Rattus norvegicus: one gene and its partner. The protein of the gene in region 1 interacts with the protein of each later gene in a pairwise test. Links are inferred from orthologs where the notes say so. Each region holds a gene or a part of one and is shown on either strand. Other genes may lie near its edges.

What was found. The genes of interacting proteins can lie anywhere in the genome.
Region 2: the proteins of Psme3 (region 1) and Prr13 interact in binary tests that used the Homo sapiens proteins (3 or more experiments, as listed by UniProt). The two-hybrid records come from large-scale screens. The link is inferred for Rattus norvegicus from reciprocal best matches to the Homo sapiens genes PSME3 and PRR13.

The regions. Positions count from the first base shown.
Region 1 is NC_086028.1:86,756,009-86,761,087, forward strand, and holds the start of Psme3 (proteasome activator complex subunit 3), read left to right. Parts: upstream 1-1,924; 5' UTR 1,925-2,124; coding exon 2,125-2,166; intron 2,167-2,861; coding exon 2,862-2,894; intron 2,895-3,002; coding exon 3,003-3,065; intron 3,066-3,288; coding exon 3,289-3,393; intron 3,394-5,079. UniProt on the Homo sapiens protein: Subunit of the 11S REG-gamma (also called PA28-gamma) proteasome regulator, a doughnut-shaped homoheptamer which associates with the proteasome. 11S REG-gamma activates the trypsin-like catalytic subunit of the proteasome but inhibits the chymotrypsin-like and postglutamyl-preferring (PGPH) subunits.
Region 2 is NC_086025.1:135,469,523-135,474,513, reverse strand, and holds Prr13 (proline-rich protein 13), read right to left. Parts: upstream 3,475-4,991; 5' UTR 3,410-3,474; intron 2,776-3,409; 5' UTR 2,756-2,775; coding exon 2,737-2,755; intron 2,397-2,736; coding exon 2,047-2,396; intron 491-2,046; coding exon 440-490; 3' UTR 170-439; downstream 1-169. UniProt on the Homo sapiens protein: Negatively regulates TSP1 expression at the level of transcription. This down-regulation was shown to reduce taxane-induced apoptosis.

The DNA of each region.
Region 1 (5,079 bases):
AGCCCATGAGGTATCATATATTTGATGGAGATTTATGGACATGAATTTAAAGTAAGCCAGTCATCCTGGAGCACACAAAACTGAGTGGCATTTATCATTGCTTTCTCAATACAGAGATGGGTCAGTGTTTGGAACATTTAGAGAAGGGAGGAGGAAAAGGTGTATCTTTCTTCTTACAGTGTGTATCTGAAGACAAAGCAAGTTCTTTTCTGAGAATGAAGCCATTATTTCAATAAGCACGAACACTAGTTTTGAAGGTAGAATTCTGAAAGACACACAGAAGAGTGGCCCACTGACAGTACAAGGAAGCTAATTTGGGAGAGAATTCTGATGTTAAGTATCTAGAGACTAGTGTTAACAGAAAGTAGTGTGAAGATGGCTCAGGGGTTAAGAGCACTGATTGCTCTTCCAGAGGTCCTAAGTTCGATTCCCAGCAATCACATGGTGGCTCACAACCATCTGGAATGAGGTCTGATGCCCTCTTCTGGTGTGTCTGAAGACAGCTAGAGTGTACTTATTTATAAGTGAGTAGAGGAGAAGGGTGGGAGGAGGGTATTTGCACTGGAATAAGTGGGAAGACTATCTTAGATCCCTGCTATTGTCTGCCTGCCATTTCTTTGCTCCCATTTGCATTTTGGTCACTTTATTTTCTGGTGTTTTTCCAGTGTGAAGCACCAGTGGCAACCAGAAACTTTAAGCAGATTGTTCACTTTCTGTACCCCAGAACTGTTGTTTTCCATAGAAGAGTCACTGGTTCTGCCGGCTATTGAGTACTACAGTGTATCACATTTTCTGTTTTTGGTTGTTTTGTGACAATTTATATATGGCCTTACTTTGAAGCTCAGGCATTTAAAACCATTATCATTTACTCTGGATGGGCTTACTTATTTTCTTATGTGTGCACAGAGGTCAGAGGGCAACTTGCAGGGATTGGCTGTCACACCATACGTGTCTAAGGATTGAATTAACGTCGGTCGGCTTAGAGGCGAGTGCCTTTAATACCCACTATGTCCACCTTTTAGCTCCTGGTAGCTCAAGCTTTCCTGAATATTTCCCATTTAGTTGGTTGATGCGGTGAATTGGAAATCCAGACACGAGGGGCTGACTGTATTGTAATATGTAAATTAACACTGGCTAAAGTTATTTTTTTAATGCGTCTGCTAGAAGACCTCACCCTACATACATGATGCGCACATTTCTAGTCTCTCCAGAAAACTGTTCTGGGGTCTAGCACATCCCCCTACTCCATTTTATTGCATGGAATAACCAATAGGAAAAGATACACCGAATAAACTGTTGAAAGAGGAGATTGCTGTCTCGGACTTCCAGTGGGAAAATGGTAACCACTTCCCCCTAGAACTGAAAACTTAAGTCTAATGAAGTCATTGAAAACAATGTGTTGTCTCTTAAGATAAGCCACTATCCTCTTTTGAGAGTGAATTTGCCCCTTAGATACTTGATATCTGAGGTCTGCACGTTTATGATAACTGTACCAGGAAAGCTCGGTGCAATGGAACTTGTCTTGTGTTTGAGACTAGTCGTCAGGAGTAAGGGATGGGTGGCGGGAATCAGTAGTCACAGCCCGGAACCTTAAACTAGGGACCCGGGCCGCGGGCTTCTCCAGCCGACGTCACTAGGGCGCGACGCCTACTCTTCCAGAAGCAGTGGCACGTGAGGTACCACGGTGAAGTCGAGTTCCGGGACAATAAGACACATCACTCTTGAGTCCCCGGGAGATTTGGGTCTCAGCATCCCTGTCCTAGGTTTGCCACCACAGGTCACAAGGCCTGGAGCTCCATTAGCCCCTCCGAGAACCTGTAGAGTTGAGCATCACAGCGGCTGCGCAGGGCACGTGCTCATCCTCCCCAGGAGTCCGGGCGATTGGCTGTGACGCAACTTCCGGCGTGAGCGGCGAAAGCCGGGAGGGCGAGCGAGAGAGCTACCCGGCAGCAGGCGGGCGGGTGGCCGGCCGGCACGGAGGGAGGGAACGAGCAAGCGGTGAGCAAGCCAGCGAGGGCGCCCGGGTCCCGAGGGCAGCGGAGATTCCTCAGGCCCCTCCGGTGCCCTCCCCGGAGCCCACAGCACCTCCGGCACCCAGCGGAGCGGACGCGGTCCAGCCCGGCCATGGCCTCGTTGCTGAAGGTGGATCAGGAAGTGAAGCTCAAGGTAGCGGCACAGCTCCGGCCTCCTCATCCCTCCTTTCGAACCCCCAGCAGTCGGATCTGCTCCCCACTCCCCATGTCGTCTTTGTCTCCCTGGGGACACCAGGTATGAGCTTCCGCCTGGCTCAACCCAGCCCCCCACGCCTGGAGACGGCATTGGAGAGGACGATATAGGGTGGCTTTCTGCCCTGCTTCTGGTGATGGAGTGCACCAGTGACTCCTCCTTGGACACGTGTTAGACTCAGTGCTTTAGGCTAGTGACAGGTGGAAATCCCGGGCCCAGGAACGTCCCCGCCCCCGACCCTGCCACTGACCCTGCCCTTGAGGCTGGCCTACTGCGTATGATAGGCCAGGTCTGGGGGGGAGTTGGCACGTTTGTGAGCTCACTTCTTCCAGTCTGGCTTTTGTCTGCCTATGAAATTGAGAGGGTTTCAGACAACACGGAGGGAGGGACCAAGGGGGGTGAGGGGTGGGTGGAAAGGGAGAGAAGGGGTAGAACTGACAGGTGCCGGCCTGCAACCCCAACATCTTCTCCCAAGATGGAGAAATGGATCCTCAAAAAAATGAAATATTTGCAGTCCGGGGGCCTCTCACCTTCTAATTATAATTTCAAGGTGAGGGCGAGACAGCTGGATTTGGGGTTCCCCATCCACACCCTTGTATCACTAGGTATTGAATTGCTCTCTTTGTTAATTCTAGGTTGATTCTTTCAGGGAGCGGATCACAAGTGAGGTGAGTGCTGGTTGTAAAAGAGAAAAGGGGCATTGGTTAATAGCTTGGGGTTTCCCAAAAAGATATCCATAGGGAGTTTATTAATTCAGGTGTATTTTCTCTGCCTAGGCAGAAGACTTGGTGGCAAATTTTTTCCCAAAGAAGTTATTAGAACTTGATAGTTTTTTGAAGGTGAGAGACGCTTTTATTTCTTTAAATTACTTCTTTGGTTCCTGTCTTTCTGACAGAGGGGGCAGACTGTGTGTTGATTCTGTTCCCTTGTGTACTGTAAAGGATTCGTTTGCTTTTACAAGAAATACTCCTATCCCCCGTCTCTCTCCTTTTCTTTTCTTTTCTTTCTTTTCTTTTTAAACTTAACACTAATACTGTTTTGGGGTGAATGCCTCTCTTTCAGGAACCAATTCTAAATATCCATGACCTAACTCAGATCCACTCAGACATGAATCTCCCAGTCCCTGACCCCATTCTCCTCACCAATAGCCACGATGGACTGGATGGTGTGAGTGTCTTGCATTTATGTTTGTGTTCTTAGTATTTTGTTTTTTGGTAAGCTTGGGGACGTACGGAGATGTGGGATTTGCCTGTGGGATCTGGGTTCTGTTTGAGGTGTGGTGACTCTAGCATACTATACTACTTTTTGGACCATTCGCTTCGTTTTGGGCGAGGTGAGTACGTTAGTGCTGCTCTAGTTCTTAACCCAGGTTTTAATTAGTTCGAAGCTGGCTGCAGGCTTCCCTCCACTACCTGGCTTTCCACACGCTTGGGAGCAAGACTGTTTTGTTCAGCATGCTGTCCTTATAGATGGCAGAACAGCTGTCCTTGCTGCCTAGCCGCAGTCCCAGTCCGCAGTCACTGTGCTTGCTGTGCTGAACTGTGCTTTACTGCACTTGCACTGTGCTTCTGAGACAGCATCTGATTATGGAGCCCCTGGCTAGCCTGCAACTCCTTATGCAGACTAGACTGAGTTGACCACAAACTCAACAAGATCTGCCTGCCCCTGCCACGTAAATGCTAGGAAGGAAGGTGCGAGCTGCCATGCCAGCCAGCACTGCTACTGTATTAGTTGCAAGTCTATATTGCATTATAACACCAGGGATACTATAGTTCCATCTAGATTCCTGTGGCTTGGTACTTTGTTGTTGTTGTTGTTGTTATTATTATTACTGTTTTTTTTTTTTTCTGTCCTAGAAGTCAAGCCCAGGGTCTTGTGTACCTATATAAATGCTGTACATCTGATTTATGTTCCTAGCTTTCAGAACTTTCTTAATTATAATTCATTAAGCGAGGGATGGTGGCTCAGCATTCAGCTTGCCTGGAGAACGAGAGTTGTGTGTTCAAGATCAGCCTGGGATACATAGTAAATTGAAGGCTGGCTGGGACACATACCGGGAGCGTTTTTTTCTTTTTTTTAAATAAGATTTTTTTATAAGTACACTGTAGCTGTCTTCAAACACACCAGAAGAGGGCATCAGATCCCATTACAGATGGTTGTGAGCCACCATGTGGTTGCTGGGATTTGAACTCTGGACTTCTGGAAGAGCAGTCAGTGCTGCTCTTAACCACTAAGCCATCTCTCCAGCCCAGAATCCTTTCTTCAAAATAAAACAAACTTGAAGTTAAGTCAGGGGACATCTCAGTAGTCTGCGTCCTTAGCTCCCAACATCACATATTCCTAGCGTAGAGAAGGTACTGCTCTGAGTTTGCTGAATGACAAGATTTATCTTAGAATCAAAACACTAGTGCACACTCCCTCAGTTATCTCCTACCTGCCTTTTTGCTTTCTTCTTTTTTTTCTTTCCTTTTTTCGGAGCTGGGGACCGAACCCAGGGCCTTGTGCTTGCTAGGCAAGCGCTCTACCACTGAGCTAAATCCCCAACCCCTTCTTATTTTTTAAATGGAATTTTCCCTGCTTTTCCACTACTTAAAAAAGTACTTTATTGTGTGGGTAGGGAGCTCTTTCCTTCTGCCATATTGGACCCAGAGATCAAACTTGGGTCATCAGACTTGGCAGCAAGTGCCTCTCCCTGCTGAGCCAACCTACTGACCACTTCGGCTGCTTTTTAAATGTGTTCTATTAGTGGTAACTTTGGCCTTCCCAACCAGAATGTAAGTTTCTTTTTGACGAGAACCCCTTTTAAAAACTTTATGTGTGTGTGCATTGAAATTCATATGATAGAGGGGTGGG
Region 2 (4,991 bases), on another chromosome or scaffold:
TACTGAACTGAGGAAGAAATTGGGTTCCAAAAGAGCTCATCAAGTAAAGAAAGGGACTGCACTTCCCAGTGGCTCAACAGTTACTGTGATCAGTAAGGCCGGGAATACGGTTGCTACCAAATCGCTCTCGTGTGTCGCCATTACAAAAGTACAGGTTTCTCATCACAAATTGTCACAAACCCAAGTTACAAAAGAAAAATCACATGGTGCATATCTTAAAAGACAGTGCCCCCCCCCACCTCATAAGCTACGGTAATATCAAGCAGGGAGAAGGTAGCTTTTGCTACCCCTCGGCAGTCATCTTCCCCAACAGCGGGGAGAAGGCACAGGAAGGAGTGGGGCGGGGCGCTAATTTCCCCTCAGTACAAGATGACAGGTGAAGCTTGGTGGGAGACTGGAGCTGGTGAGGCTTGAGGGGAGGAGGCTCCAGGCCCTGTGTTCAGTCAGAGTCACTGCTGGAGGAGGAGGAGGAGGAAGAGGAGGAGGAGTGCTGCAAGGGGAAAGGACACATCATCAGATCCAGATGGCCTCTGGTCACTCCAAGGTCCATTCTTTGGTGCCCCACCCATCCACCCAAGTATCCAGTAGTCAGGAGTCTCATACCGTCCTGTCCCATAACCAACAAAATCAAGGGTTTCCTTCAGCAGTGAACATACAAGAATGGATTAAATTGTCCTCAGTCATTGCACAGAACTGAACACATTGCCTTCTGACCAAGTTTATACTTTCCACACCTAGCCAGGGCCAGGAATGAAGAACAAACACAGCATGGATGCGGGAAGCAGCTGCAACTTTGTAAGTCCCTACTCATTAGCTTAAAGAATGACAAACGAGACTCTCTGCACCTCAGAGAGGGTAGGAACAGCCAGCCACCGTGTGTGTGTGTGTGTGTGTGTGTGTGTGTGTGTGTGTGTGTGTGTGTGTGTGATGCTGTACTTCCTCCAAGTCCCACTAGGGGAAAAAGTGGGGAAGATGGCAGAGACAGACAGATGGCTGGAGAAACCCCACACAGACATACCTCCGTCAGCTACTGTAAAAAAAACACCTGCTACCAGAATCCTAGCCCTTAAGAGTTTCGTGTTGGGGCTGGAGAGACGGCTCAGCGGTTAAGAGCACTGACTACTCTCTTCCAGAGGTCCTGAGTTCAAATCCCAGCAGCCACATGGTGGCTCACAACCATCAGTAATGCAGATCCGATGCCCTCTTCTGGTGTGTCTGAAGATAGCCACAGTGTACTCACATACATGAAATAAATAAATAAATCTTAGAAAAAAAAAGTTTAGGCTCTCAGGGTTCTCTCCCTCATTCAGTGTCTCCTTTCCTTCCCCACTCCCCACATCTCTACCTAAGACCCAGAATCAGGAACTAGAGTCCAGACCCACAAGCAAACATTTGGCATAAAAATCTAACTAAAGCTTCAAGATTAGACTGATGCTTTTCCCAAGTCCTCAGGGAAACTCCTTCCCTCACTAACAATAATTAGCGTCCCTGTGGAAGGAAGGGATACAGGTCTTGTGAAGGAAAATGCCCTTTCACCCCAGGCTTTGCAGAAGGCTGCTGAGTCACAGAAGACCCACCCAGGGAATTAACTCAGCACCTGAGAACGCCGAAGGAGATAAAGGAAATCCAGGAACTAGGGTCAGACCGCCACCCCGCAAACTATTATGCGTCATTGCACTTTGTCAAAGAACTCTTTTGACATTTAGACAACCTTAATGGGTGTGTCCAACTTACCAAAAGATACACCTAGGGTGGGTCAAGGCGGGGAGTTACAGGGATAGAGGGAGAGAAGGGAGAGGGCTTTTGGCTCTGATATCCGCCCCCACTTCACTTTTCCTTTGCAGATGGGAGTGGTCGAATGCCTCAATATTACTAAACTCCTTAAAGGAGGATCTCTTTACGTAAAGGAAAACCACCTGCCAAAAGGACAGGATTGCCGTCCTCCTCCCACGCCCCACAAACCGAGAATGCCCATCCCCAACTCCTGATCACCCCGGTCCCTCTGAAGGGAGCTCCTTCCCCAGCCAGGCTCCAGAGGACACTGACCTTCCCGTGCTTATGATGCTTGTGTGATTTCTTGTGAGCTTTCTTCATTTTCTTCCTAGTCTTCTTGTCTATCACTATTCCTGGGCCTACCATGCCAGGAGCCGGAGGATTCACGGGGCACATGCCAGGAGCAGCTGGTGGGTACGGGGGAGGGTAGGGACCTGAGGGTTGGTATCCTGGACACCCTGGTTGCGGTACAGGATAAGGAGGTCGACACGGAGGGAAAGCTGGGTTTCCCTGAGGAATTCCGGGAGGACAGGGGCCAGGAGGAAAGGCAGGATTTTGGGATGGTGGGCAGGCAGGATTGGAACCTCCTGGACACACAACTTGGGGTGGATATGGATTTGGCCCTAGAGGAAGAATTGGAGAATAAAGATTAGAACGGTGCAAACCTCTATCAACGAGTAACACAAGTCACCACCATTCTTTTTTTTTTTTTTTTTTTTGTTCTTTTTTTCGGAGCTGGGGACCGAACCCAGGGCCTTGCGCTTCCTAGGCAAGCGCTCTACCACTGAGCTAAATCCCCAACCCAGTCACCACCATTCTTAAGCCCTACGGAAAGGCAGAACTCGGTAGCTAGCAGTGGTCCCGTGACTTTGTTTTTGCTGGGGGTTGCAGGATACAGAAAAATCCCGTTTCGTTGCAAAATGGGCTGGGGCGGGGTCAGAGGAGAGCCCCCCAGTTACTTACCAGCACTAGGATTCCACATGTCCACAAGTTAGTTCAATCCTACGAAGTAAAACAGACAAAAATCTGAAGCTCCCAGGAAGGGAAGCGGATTTTCTAGAGCCCGAGCCCCACCCTACAGCCTCCGCCTTACGAAGGCTCTCACTGATAAAACTACCGCAACCTCCACTTTAAAATGGGCAGCACTCTGGAGGCAGAGGCAAGTGGATCTCTGAGTTAGAGACCAGCCTGGTCTAAAGAGAGTTACAGGACAGCCAGAGCTACCCTGTGTTGAAAACCAAAACAAAACAGAAAAAAAGTTTCCTTCCTCTCTCCAGCGCCCTCCTAGCCTACATTAGCGCAGGGTCTAAACCACAGAAACTCTCTTCCTGGGGCCCCTCCCACTTTCACTATCTCACCTGGATGTAGGCGTCTCATTTCCCTCTCCCTAGAAAGGGACCGGAGGCCTTAAGCATCCGTAGTGTGAGAGATAGGACCTAAACCCTAAACTCCCTGCTCGCCCCAGTGGAGAAAAAAAAAAAAAAAAAAAAAAAAGGAACCCAAAACGCTAAGATAAGGACAAAACACACACACCCCAAAGAAAGGGCAAAGGGAGTTCCTAGTTCTCAGGTATAAATGGATCCCTGGCCCAGCTAAGAGGAAAGAAGGGAATTTGGGAGGCCAGATGCCCTGTCACCTTCCCAAGATCGCTGGTCCTCTTCCCGTCCTCCTTCCCAGTCTGGGATCACACACTTCCTGGTCACCCCTATTCATTCTATGCTTCCGCACCGCCCCGGTGACCTAGATAATTATGTGGTCACTCGGCATGATGATTGGAGAACTGACTTGTCAATCGCTGTGGTCCAAACAAGGAGGAAACGTTTGCGCTAGACGCCGGGCGGAGCCTTTTGGAAAAAAAAGCCTTGCGTTGTGAAATACATAACTGGTGAAATAACAGACACAGCGGAAGTGCTCCTTAGGGCGGGAGCGGGGCAGGGCTAGCTCCAAGCAGAGACCCCGAGCCAACGAGATAAACTCTCAGTTTCTTTTGTTCGTTTAAATTTTAAGATTTTTTTTTTAAATGAGTATGAGTGATTTGCCCCAATGTATGTGCACCAAGTGCCTGCTGAATGACAGCGGAGGTCTTCAAAGCCCCTGGAGTCAGAGTTGCTGATGAGCAGCCATGTGGATGCTGGGGACTGAACTCAAACACTTCGCATGAGAAGCAAACGCTTTTTAACTGTTGAGACATCTCTCCAGTCCCTATCATTGCGTTGCGGTTACAGGTCAGTGAGTACATTAGGTGTTTTGTTTGTTTGTTTTAAGGTAGCCTTGTCTGTAACCTAGCACTTGGGAAGTGGAGGAGGAGAATCAGAATTCAAGGGCAATGTTAGCTTCTTAGGGAATTTGAGGCCAGCCAACCCGATATAAGACCTCAGAGAGCCCTGTGCTGGTGGCATATGTCTTTAACCCCTGCACTCAGGAGCTGAGGCAGGTGAATCTCTGGGTTTGAGGACAACCTGGTCGACATAGTGAGTTCCAGGACAGCCAGAGCCACACAGAGGAACCCTCTGTTTCCAAAAACAAAAACAACAAAAAAACAAGACCTCAGAGAACAAAAGGAGGAAGTGCTGCTAAGTCCTAGCCCCAGGTCTCAATGCTGCCAGCTTCTATAACCACAGCCCGTGGTTCTCTTTTTTTTTTTTTAAAGATTTATTTATTTATTATATATGAGTACACTGTAGCTGTTTTCAGACACACCAGAAGAGGGCATCAGTTCTCATTACAGATGGTTGTGAGCCACCATGTGGTTGCTGGGATCTGAACTCAGGACCTCTGGAAGAGCAGTCAGTGCTCTTAACCACTGAGCCATCTCTCCAGCCCCGTGGTTCTCTTTTGTAGAAAGATAGGTAAGAGAGGGGGTCTCAATGTGTCCAACAGATGCCGTGGTTATAGTCTCATGCCATTGTTCCGGGTGAATAACTTCACTTTTGGTTTTGTTGTTTTGAGACAGAGTCTTCCTGTATGACTCAGGTTGACCTTGGAGGGAAGGCAGTCATCCCTTATCTGCCTCTCTCCCGTGCAAGAATAACAAGAGCAAGCCACAACTCTCAAAAGAGTTTTTTTTTTTTTTAAGGTAAAGATTACAAACTCGTGCTTCAGCACATCTAGTTCTAACAGGTGGAGTTCAAAACATGCGAAGCCAAGAGTCTGCAATGTAGCTATATGCCCAACCCATAAATATCTTTTAAAATATTTTATCTTATGTGTTATGGGGG